Linked DNA regions of Tribolium castaneum. The protein of the gene in region 2 interacts with the protein of the main gene of each other region in a pairwise test. Links are inferred from orthologs where the notes say so. Each region holds a gene or a part of one and is shown on either strand. Other genes may lie near its edges.

The links.
Region 1: the proteins of hth (region 2) and exd interact in binary tests that used the Drosophila melanogaster proteins (3 or more experiments, as listed by UniProt). The link is inferred for Tribolium castaneum from reciprocal best matches to the Drosophila melanogaster genes hth and exd.

The regions. Positions count from the first base shown.
Region 1 is NC_087400.1:5,270,061-5,275,723, forward strand, and holds exd (extradenticle), read right to left. Parts: upstream 3,051-5,663; 5' UTR 3,047-3,050; coding exon 1,961-3,046; 3' UTR 1,643-1,960; downstream 1-1,642. Other genes in the region: GAPcenA (rab GTPase-activating protein 1-like), read right to left, coding at 391-715; pre-mRNA-processing factor 17, read right to left, coding at 4,182-4,359, 4,411-4,766, 4,818-4,972, 5,022-5,130, 5,283-5,497, 5,549-5,663. UniProt on the Drosophila melanogaster protein: Transcription factor which acts with the selector homeodomain proteins altering the regulation of downstream target genes such as wingless (wg), teashirt (tsh) and decapentaplegic (dpp), thus affecting segmental identity.
Region 2 is NC_087396.1:11,434,082-11,440,721, forward strand, and holds the start of hth (homothorax), read right to left. Parts: upstream 4,129-6,640; 5' UTR 3,895-4,128; coding exon of another isoform or gene 3,880-3,894; intron 1,210-3,879; 5' UTR 1,156-1,209; coding exon 1,135-1,155; intron 1-1,134. UniProt on the Drosophila melanogaster protein: All isoforms are required for patterning of the embryonic cuticle. Acts with exd to delimit the eye field and prevent inappropriate eye development.

The sequences.
Region 1 (5,663 bases), on a different chromosome or scaffold from region 2:
TGTTATTAATCGCTGAAATGGAGTGTAATAGCTGTTTCAAAACTATAAAAACGCCAACGTCGCTGTTTATTCTTTCAAAAATTATTTTAAAAAAATAATTTGGTAAAATGCAACGTCGGCGTTTTTACAGTTCTGAAACAGCTAATAGGTTTGTTCGATTAAATTTTGTGAGACAACCTGTAGATTTATTTCAATAAATCCCGCTTCGCGGAACAAGTGGCATTATTTTTTCATTCAAGCAAAAACAATTACTTCAATTTGCATTTGTAAATAAACACGTCATGACATCACCACCACAACAAAGAATGAATAATTTTAGATACACTTCTCTTATCAACAATTTCACGGTCGTATAAGGCAACAAACGTAACTTTTTCGCAGCTTCCTCACCTTCCTCCTCCTCATTGGAGTCCTGCTTGACCGAGTCCTGTTTTTCCCCGGGACTGTCCTCCCCCGTCCTTGACAGCGGGTCCTTCCCCGGCTCCACCAAACACCCATAAAACGTCGAATGCCCGATCTTCTTCTCCTTGCCGTCCACCTCGTCCATATTCCTCCCCGACTCCTGCAGCACCTCCGTCAAGGCACTCTTCAACTCGCTTAGATCCCCCTTAATATCCAACGTGGGCGTCTTGTTCGCAGGCTTGTCCCCAACGAAATCAAACTCTTCGCTCGTTGCCACCGACTCATTTGATTTCACGCTCAAACTATCCTCCATAGTGTGGGGCCACTCGAGACAACACAATATCTTATTACGCCTCCTTGCAACCTGCCACTACATCATCGACGAGCGGGGCGTGCACCACGACTGTGAGTTAATCCAGGAGGGAAAATGACACTTTTAAACACATTATGCGAAATGAGAGACGATTTGAGGTGGAAATGTGAGTAAATAAGTGTGGACGTCAGGAATTTGACATTTGATCGGTTTTTGTTTTGGCAGGGCTGACACCCACACGACACACACCAGACGCGGAATTGACCCAAAATTGACCGTTTTCGGGCGAATTTCCACAATGATTGTTTCGCTAAACACGCAAAGTGGTTATCAAAGCAAAAATAATAAAATTTAAGCCAAAATAAGCGTATATCGACGGGCCCAACTCGGTGTAGTGTTGGTATAACTGGAAGTGTCACAGCGGCAAATTTAATTGTGGGGTCTGAGCAGAAAAATTTAAAGCCCACACAGATAAAAATACCCATATACCAAAAAGAAAAAAGCTCACGATAAGTTGTGATTTATGTAATAAGTGGGTATTACGTTCCCCCTCTGGTCTCTATACAGGGTGTCCCAACTGAAATTGCACCCCTAGAATCTCGGTTTACAGAGGAACTAAATTTTATCCTAGAAAGTTATTTCTGCATACCTCTTAAATCACCAATCACATTTCTTTAATTTGGTCACGTGTCCAGTTAATCACGCATTTAATTGCGAATTAAATTAACGACGCTTCGTCTAAAAAATCTAAAACTTTTATTGACATCTGAGTAATTATTTTATAAATCTATCCACAATGACAGTGATTGTTTTTTTTTAGTGAGTTAATTTTTATGGGGCTTTTATTCACGTGAGTCTCTCTACGCCCTTTATTTCCATGTAGGATTTTCTGTGATTATTTCATGTATGTTGAAAAAATGATCCACGTGTTACTACAGTTATTTATTTAAATAGTAAGCACTGTAATTTCATTTTCGATGGAAAAACCTCGGCGTTAAAGCAAAGTTCTCTCACCCAGCTGCTCCTTATCGATAAAAATAAGTAAATATACAAAAAATACTGAAGAAAAACTCGCCTTAACTCCTAAAACAATCAACCTAAAAATATATTGCAAGTACGTCCTATACTATCAGAAAAGTAAAACTTGAAGCAATTGAACCCAGAAACACACTGTACACGATACAAAATTCGGTATACATGGGTTAGTATACAACTGTATTTCCTTAAAATTAAGCTAGGGTTTGATTAGGGCGACAGTTCCTGTGCGTGCATTGGGTCGTAACCACAGCTACTGGCGTCATAGGCTGAGCTCTGGTCGTAGGCCGACCCCATGGAGTAGCCCATGGAGTCCTGCGGGGGCGCTGGGGACATCATGGGGGTCGGGGTGCCGCTGTAGGGCGACGCCCCTGCCGCCTTCTTCGCCGCGTACAAATTGGCCTCTTCCTGCGCCTTCCCGATGTTCTTCTTGTACCTGATTCGTTTGTTCCCGAACCAGTTCGACACCTGGCTCACTGTGATCCCGCATTTCCTAGCCAACTCTTCCTTCGCCTCCTCACTGGGGTAGGGATTAGACAAATGCGAGTAAAAATACTCGTTTAGAATTTCCGACGCCTGCTTGCTGAAATTCCGGCGTTTCCTTCTGGCGTCCAAAAACCGCGATCTGAGGATCATAACAGCCTCGCAAGTCGACTGTTTCAGCTGCATCTGAATCGAGGAGAATTTCTTGTGTATGATTTGCACCATCCGCTCGATTTCCTTCGGGGTGATTGGGCGAGTCCGGGACTGCTCCCGCAGCAAGTTCATAACGTGTGTGGTGAACTCATTGCACGCCTGTTCGTACTTTTCCAGTTCTTGGTGGTAGATTTGGCGGATTTGGGCGAGTTTGGCCCTGTAGTCGCTGTGCTCGATGGCGTTGTCGGGCTGGCCGGCCTGGGCGGCGGCGGAGCCCGAGGCGGCGGCCCCCGCGCCGCCGCCCTTCTCGGGGCCCGCCACCCCCTCGGCGATCAGCATGTTGTCGAGCCGCATCAGCTGGGGGTCGGGGGGCTCCTCCTCCTGCGTGTTCCGCAGGCTGAGCACCGTCTTCTCCTTGATTTCGCACAGCACGGAGAACAGGGCCGGCTTCATGCGGTGGCAGTTGAGGGTGTGTTTGCGCGCTTGGGCCTCGTCGAGGCTCTGGTCGGTGATGTTCATGATCTGCTGGAGGATCTCACCGATGTCCTGCTTGCGGGGCTCGTTCTCGCCGCCCGCGGGCGCGTCCTGGGCGTTCATGTACGGCTGAGGGGGCATCAGGCCGCCGCCGGTGTGGCCCATCATTCTGCCGGGGTCGTCCATGGGGGCACGCAAACGGCACTAGGAAATGGACGCGCTTGACAGCATACGTAAACAAAGCGGGAGGATGTTTGCGGGATGGGTAGTAGGGGCGCATGCGCGAAAGCAGGAATTTTATGGATTTTGAGGGGCGGGTGGGGGAGATTTATGGCCTTTGGATGATATTCAAATTTTGGCACGGATTGGAAAAAGTGGTTTACTAAAGCGAGAGTTGTTTATACTTGGATTCATTCACAAACTAGGGAGGACCAGAGAACTAATGATAGAAAAAATCGTTGATTCTCTTGAAATCAGCATCTAACAGTCATTCAACAGCAAAAAATCTGAAGTAAATGACCAAAAGTTGTGTCAATTTTGAGAAAAATATAGAAAATAGAAACGTATGCTGTAAAATCATACTCTAATTACGTTATTTCACAATCTACGTTGTCTTTTAGTCATTACCAAAAAACTATGCCACTCCACCATAAAACAAATTTGCAAAATACCAGCAAAGTCCGGACCTGTGTAACTCAAAACTCGTCTAACGGACTTAATTAGTTATAATACTGAACACCCCGTTTCATCATTTTAAATATATATTTAAAAATTAAAGTCCCATTAAAGTATTTAATTCTCCATTTAAATTATCTAGAAAATTTAGAAATCAACATAGGAACGAACGAAAGTAGCAACTTATTGTCTTTTGAAAGTGAATTTAATGTGTGATTGTTGCAAAGACGAAAAAATACAGTTTGAGAAAAAATTAATTAATTAAAAAAATTAATAATTAAAAGGACGATTTAGAGAACAAAGATTTTTTGAAAAAAAAGCAAATGCTGATGTTAGAAAATTTAATTACTATTAAATAAAATACTAATAATCATTCTTTATTTTTTTCCAATTGCAAAAACATCATTTTTTATCTAATTTTTTTCTAATCTTTTAAATGCTTTAACGGCGGAATTAAAATCTCGCTGTCAAAATTAGACGTAGGCATTTAAAAACGCAAAATGAGTGACGTTTCACCGTAGACATAAGTCAGGTGACCGAAATCGCTTACGTTGATTGGTTATAACGATCACGTGACCATAGCGAAAGGACGTATCTTCTAATTAAAATATTTTATTTCGCTTAAAATTTACACCTTCTTGGAAACTTAATCCCAGTATTTGATAAGTCCATCCCAGCCTGCTGTCACTAACTTGCTCGGCTCGTGCGGATGCCACAGCACACTGATACAGACATTATCGTGCGCTTTCCACTTCTTATACAACTTTGTAGTTTTCCAATCCCAGATGTAGCACTTACCATCGGCGTCACCCGACACTAAATAACTACAAAAAAAATTGTTAAAACCTACAACTGTTAAAAAAATAATAACAAACCTCAAATCTGGTGAAAAATCAAGTGTGCAGGCATACCCAGCCACCATATGTCCCGTAAACGTCTTTTTTCGATTTATTTTGAAGCGATTTAATGCCGAGAAAATGACAATTTTGTTGTCCATGCTTTGACAAGCCAACCATTTTCCATTGGGTGCTGGCGTCACAGCAGGCATGCTGTGCATGGTCGGGTCTGCGATGTATTTCATATCAACGGGGATGTCCCACTCCCAGACCCTCAAACTTTTATCGTCCGAAGTCGTAACGAATCGGCGATTGTCGTCAACGAATGTAATAGAGTTAACTGCTCCCAGATGGCGGTCGTACTCTTGGACAATATCGCCAGATCTGGTGTCCCACTATAATAAATAATTAAAAAAAAACAAAAACTGAAAAAAAAGCACACATACACAAATGATTTTCTTATCAGAAGTTCCAGCAACGAAGAGGTGTTGTTTGTTCTTATCAGGGTTGAATTTGATACAATAGGGGATTTTGCGGCTTGAAAATCGCTTGACCACTTGACCAGTCTCAGTATCCCACAATTTAATATACCTGTCGTAACCTAAATCACATTTTTTTTGTTAATATACCAAAAAAATAAATAAACATACCGGCCGAAAGAAACAGTTTTCCTGAATTATTGAAACAAATGTCCCTAACGGCTTGCTTATGGCCGTAGTAGGTGCGAACTAATCTCCTTTCGTTATACACTTCCCACAACTACAACAAAAAATACGATTATTTTTTTTAATAGTTTTGAAAAAGCTAATAGTGACTTTTCATAAACCAACATTAAGTTGGCTGTGACTGAAATTAAACTATTCGGTGCTGCCATCTTATTCAAATTAAGAATCATAGGCCACTAGACAGACCTTAATTCTGCAGTCCATGCTAGCAGACAGTAACAAATGAGCCGTTCGGGGGAACCACCGAATGGCCGCAATTCCTTTCGAGTGCCCCGACCACGTATGAATATGTGCTTTCGGAAGGAAACACTTCTCCGGGGGGCTGTCCGATTTCAAATTGACACCAACATCTTGAGGTGCATGTAGAAAACTCCTTCCCTGATAATCCACAGCGTCTGAAACTGTAACAAAACCAGCAATTTTCGCAAAATTCACCCAATAGTCACTCTTACTGTGCAAAATTGATTTTTCCTCGATTGGTTTGTCTTCTGTGGGTTTCCCCTTCTTGTTCTTTTTCGACAATAATTCGTCCAACTCTGCTGCCTCCTCATCAGACGGCTTCATGAC
Region 2 (6,640 bases):
GATTAAAATAATTTTTAAGTTAGTTTAAACTGTACAATAAATGGATTAACGGATTTGGCGGTTAATCTCGCTGTATAATTGTAACACCGGGAGGTTTTACTGATTTTTATTTAAACAATAAAAACAGACACATAATAAACAGTTTGTAACTGATTTTAGCGGGTATTTTTAAAGGCGTTATCGTAATATTCGTAATGCATGCATGGTTTAAATTATGCTGTGGATACAACCTTTTTTACTACAATAACACATTTTTGGAGAGATTAAGAATTATTTTTAACTAAACTGGTTCTGAAAGGAAACTGTAATTGGCAACGTAATTATCATATTTAAAACCAATTTTAATTTGGTTTAATGATTTGCGGCGGATTTGGTTCGTTGTTCACTTCTGAAGGTTTATTTTTTCGAAGTTTTAACCAACTTAAAAAAAATGAGTAAATTCTTGCCTGACGTGAGTCCAGGCTGTATGCCTACATAAAATTGAATAATTCTTGATTTTTATTAATATCTTTAGTAATGGTAATAAAGATATCTCCCAAGTGGTCATAAATCAAAAATATTGTCTGCAGTATTATCCTTGCAATGTACACTCGGATATTTTTAAATTGCAACTTTACCGCCTGGCCGCCTTCGGGAATGTGAAACTAGCAAAAACTCATATTACTTGAAAAATTTATGACACCCAAAAATTAAATTTTCGTTCCTGGTATTTTTACGTTTTAACCTGAATTTTTAGCGAGTTTATTTAGTGTCTTTCTACTGATTTATATCTGTAAAAAATTAAAGCGGATTATAACAGACACTTTGTTGCTTTGTACAAATTTCAGATATTTATCTTTTTTTTGAAAAATCTACAATTTTCATGGATCATAACGATACTATTTTCCGGATCATATAATTCGTATGGGATTGTCACTCGGTCATAAATATACTGTTTTAGTTTTTATAGGATAGATTCTGGCGTGAAATAAATTTTGGAAAATTGTTGCGGTCACGTGTGTGCACCTGTGGGCCAGCGTCATGAAAACGCTGGCCCCGGGTGTGGAAGAATTTGGGGTTTTAGGGCACAAAAAACCACTAACTAAACGACCAAAACCACAAGACTATAGTTAGAGATAATAAGGGCATATTTACATTTTTTTGAAGCACATCCATGTCGAATCGTTTCGCACTATTCTTTAAAAATCGGTCAAAAAGAATTTTTTACACCTAGAAAAGAATTCGGAGTAAAGCAAAGCCATTAAATCAAAAACAGTGTAATCCGACGACGAAGAAGGCGACAACTCGGAGACACATCACAGCACTGAGGAACAGTCCTTTTACAACTGCCATAAACTCACATAATTACGACTCTCAAAGTCTGTAATAACGCACTTTTATCGAATTTAATTCGATGGGTGGCGCACGACACACTCCCGCACCTTGCGACGCCACTGGAGCGCGGCCGACGGCTTCCACTCCTGGAGATGTTGAGGGGCGCGATGATATTTTTATTAAAACGTCGTAAAATCGGGGGATGGAAGCGGAATCGCGATCGGATGCCGATAATTTGCCTTTTTTCGGCCCGGATTTTAGTGGCTCTAAAGTAGGAACTTGTTGGAATGGTTGTCGTCGTAAAGTTTCATGGAGTAGTAAAGAGGACCGTGTGTTATATGGAGGCGAGTTTTTTGCCCCGCCGGAGTCGCAGCCGTAAAGTTTTATCGTCGGAAATTTTGATTTGGACGGGGGCCCGTCGGCCGACGGGCCTTTTCGCGCCGATTCCGGCGCTTCATGAATATGGATTCGCGAACAAATGAGCGCTGGTATAAATGGTCTAATTTTAATTAAAATTTTGGAGTAGGTACACGCCGATTAATTACTAGATACGGGCGAATTTAATTACGGAATTAAGGGAGGGGGCCGGGGTTTCGGTGCATTCTTCGCTGCATTCCTCGATGATAATCCAAAAGTGAGTTTTTGTGAGTGGCATTTACGGTGTGTAATCAGGTAAGGTATCTGTCCGTGGCCCGGCCAAAGTGCCTATTCATCGGTTTTAAGAGAAATTAAAAGTATTCGTTGAAAGGCCACTGCTAAACTATAATTACAAGAAACGCATCACTCCCGATCTTTAATTGCGACCATTGACTAATCAAGCCTCCATTATGATGGTCGTGCCATTAGGCCCACTCCGATTAATACAAAATCACCCATTCAAATAAAAAAACGATATTTCGTCCGAATCGAACACATAAATTAAACTCATTTGAATTTTAATTATTGTGGACGCATAATATTTAACTATGATTTGTTTCCCAAATAGTTATCCGATATTTTATCCAGTTTATTACTCCGTATTATAACAAAATAAATGAATTTTATGTGCCAATAACATTTTTCGTTTTATTCAGCCATGAAAATTTTTATTAGCTGCGAAAAACATGCAGCTTCACTGTTAAGGAGGTTATTAAATTAAGCTCTCGATCTAATTTATAACTCTCTTTTCTATAAAACCATTCAAATTAGACCACACAGCCCCGTAACAGTCTTTGCCACACGCGCGCCGCTTTTCACAAACCGAATTTCCAACAACTCCAAATTAAATAAAAGGGAACTTGGAATAATTTAGCGCGCGATTTTCCCACCGAAGGGTGCTGCCCGAAATCCCGGTGTTATATTTTTCTATTTTCCCGCTTCTCGACGCTTTGTCGGAGACATCACCCAGCCACAATTCCCTGATAAAACGTTATCTGCCTCCACTCTTCTCCCGTGTACTGTTAAATCTCCGCTTTAGTTTTCCCAAGCCACCAGGAAGCGCCACTCACAACCCCATCCCCGTATCTTTTCAATAACATACAAATTCTCCAGTTAAAATCCTTAAATCAGCTTTATTGTTTCAATAGCTCACTTAAACAAAAACAAAAAGTTTAACTACAAATCCAAATAAATATTTGAATAAATTCTATTCAAGTTTTTTTTGTTATTGGTCTTTTTTATTGCAATATTTGACAAGTGTGAGCTACTTGAACTCAGCATTTCTCTTTTATTGTTTAATTATTGCAATAAAATTTAAAGCTGCAGATTTTGAAAAATGTTACATCATTTTATTATACTGAAATAATTTTATTTGGTCTCTTAATTCAGGTGGCCCACTTTTATTAAAAAAACTCATAAAATTCCAAATGTCATCATTTCTAACCACCATTGTACGGTAATAAAAAGTTAGTAAACTTTTATGGCCTTTTTACCATGAAAAAAAATACACTTTAGCACAATTTTACAAGAGTAATTAATCTCTCATATAAATTTAAAAGAAATGTTAATTTCTAATTATCATTTTATTGGGTACTATAATTTTGAAACTTTTTTCGTCCGGTGTGCTTCAATAAAACTTGCAACAAAATTTTATATTTGCTACTTTTAAAGAATTAAAAGGTTGTAGCCTTTTTATGGTCAATTTAATTATAGTCCTTATTTAAATATGGAGAAGACCATAAACTCAACCATTCGAATTCCGAAAAAGATACAAGTGAAGAAAAACAAGATAATTTGAAATCATTTTCTCATTTCCTGGCACGGATAACACTGTTAATTGTCTTTTAATAGTTGTTTTTTTATAAGTTTTCCAAACTCAAAAATATTCTCTTTGTTTCTCTTTGGTTTGTAGTTTGTTAATTGGATTGTCTTAAGGCCGGTTCGCATTGGCGCGTTTATCGCTGGATGTTATGGTTGTCGTGGGGCGATGTACAGGGTGATTGATGCGAAGTGTCGCGGCGCGTCACGTGATGGGGTGGTACCGGTAGCCGTCGGCCCGCGCGCGGACCGCCGCGGTCCAGTGGCGATCTCGCGTTTCGGCTGCGGTGTGTCGGCCGCTGGTCGCCTTCTCCGTCGGTCACTTCGTACCCGTGGCTGAGCCATGAACTGCACCGGGTGGTCGCACCGTAGCACCGTCAGAGTCACTCTTGGCGCGCACTTTTATCACACTCACTGCGGTTCACTGCACTGTCGTGTACACTGGGCCGGTGCGAGCAGGTGCTGGGGGCCCCCTCGGGCATGGGGTCGGTGGATGGGGTCTCAGATCTCTCGGTGGTGATGGTGCGCCGAGCTGCCGTGTCCGAAGCGCGTGCGGAGATCCTGCGCGGTCCGCAGTCGTCTGCCAACTGTCAATCACGCCGAACGAAGGGGGCAGAGTGGGGCTCAGATGAATGATCTGTCAGGGCAAAGACACGCCTCTCGCCCAATGGCGGACGCTACGAACGCGCGCGCGCCGTCTCACGGACGTTCCAGGCACTACCGAACAGCGTTGCCAAGACGCCCCACAAACCTCCCCAAGTCCCCACAAAACTCGATACCATACGCTGCACCCGAAGTACATACATAACCTAAAAAATCACACTCTATACGCTCTACACCCGACCGATTCCACGCACTATACATTATTTAACGCGCAATTATGCACCGTGAATCATTAATACTTGTATATTTATCAATGCTGCCTTAATTATCTACGTAATAACCCTATAATTACCACATTTTACGTAATCATATCAAAAATATATGTCTATACTATACCTTCTGACCCTGTAAAAAACCACCCCAACCTATGCTATACAACTTGACAAAAAATATATTACGCGTATAGCTATGATTTCTTGAATTCAGTATCTATATATACCTATATATAGGTACCTATATATACTTATAGGCATATATACCTATATATATTATAAACTTCGGTTATAAAATTTCGATTCTGGTTAAACCGATTACATACATATACGAGGTCATCAGTTTCAGACACGAACACCTATACAAAATATGTCTTTGACTTTATATTTGCGTATTATTTCCAAGGTGATATTAGAAACACTCCTAATTTGCTTTGTTGGTGAAAATATTTTTAGCATCACCTTAGAAACAACAGGAAGCCAAGGATCATCTATACCTAAAGACGTTTGTAATCTTTAGATAGAATGGATTTTGTGGATCCCCTAAACTTTATTGGCGTGAGGAGTAACGGGCGCATGGGCATTTAGATAACACAAAATGGTCACTTTTTCACACTAGGGAAGTATGGGTACGTAATTGTTCACTAATGATCAGTGGGTAAAGTGCTATGTAAGTGTGATGATTTTTCAACTTTAATAGACAAGTCATCATCCGTATAAGTGTCTCAATGTTTCTCAAGCCTTATCTAAATCGACAATGATCACCGTCAGGCCATTACAGTAATTATTATGTTTATACCTATGCACATGCACTTAAATTGCAGTCTACTCAGATGCAAATCATTTCGTCAAAAGTCTGTTCATGTTTAGTTTTTGATGTAAACTTTAACGTCTTTATGCCTTTCTTCTTCAATTTCCATATGTTTAGTGTGTTTAGTTTTTACAAGTTTACTATGTGGTTAGCGTATTATTAAGTCAATATTAAGAAGTGACAGCAACATAATGTAACTTTATGAAACACACGAATCGACTTATTATAATGGATAGGTGGAGAAAGGTAAATGGAGGTACAGCATTGGTCTTTAATTTGTTTTCAAAGTTTTTTTTTTAATTATAGTTGTAACAATGATTCGTAATTAATAATTATACAGCGTGGATAAAAAAATGAATTGCTCTCAACTTACAAAAAAGATTTTTTAGAAGAATCAGAAATAACAAAAGGAAAATGAATTTTAAAACTAATGCATGTGATAAAAATCATAGTCACTTTGTTTGAATGAAGAGAATTAGCAACAGCACATAAAAAATGTTATCTAATATTTAATTGGAACAAACGGTTCAAATTATTAAAATGCAAGTTAATTTTTATTACAGGAATACCCATAAATGATTTTTTTATCAAACACAAAAGTATCACATTGAAGATTTGCATGTGTTATTTACTGTTTTTGTTGTTTTAAATTAAAAACAACTCGTCAAGAAACGAATATGGGCTTCGGCATTTTATTGTCTTTTGTTGTGAAGTTTAAAATGAAAGTCATACATAAATATCTGTGTCGACAGTTTTAAATTTTATTTGCGAATTTCGCAATTCGCATAACATTTTCCAAATGCTTTTTGAAAGGGTGACATTTACAAAAGTGAGTTACCACAGCTGTAAATAATTTTTGACACGCAGGATTATTCAATTCTTTGATCACGAAAAGAATGCAAACAGAAAAAATTAAATATGCTTAATAAATAACAATGAGCAATTAAAAGTAACAAATAAATTTTTTAGGGTAACGAAGATCAAACACTGCATTGAATTCGGTGTAAGACTTATTTAACTTGCTTAATCTTGTAAATAAAAATTATGTCAACACGAATATCGAGCTAAGTAATGCGAGTCTTCACACTTTGTGTGGGCTGGGTTTTTACAATTTTATGGCTCGTTTTGGAAACACAGCCTGAAATTAAACCAATTATAGCCAGAGCAAATAATCTTGAATAAGCTAACGAACAGACTTCCATTATCGTAGGCCGATTGTTTGCTGAATTGTTATGTTATCTTTTATTACAATAGGCGGGGCTTTTGATAACCACAACGGGGATACGTAATGGACTCTCCGCAATAATTAATCTTGAAAATTATAAATATTTATTAAAAAATTATAGAAAAATTAAGATTTAACGCTCCAGGAAACGTCGCGTTCTTGCAAGTTACAGTAGATACA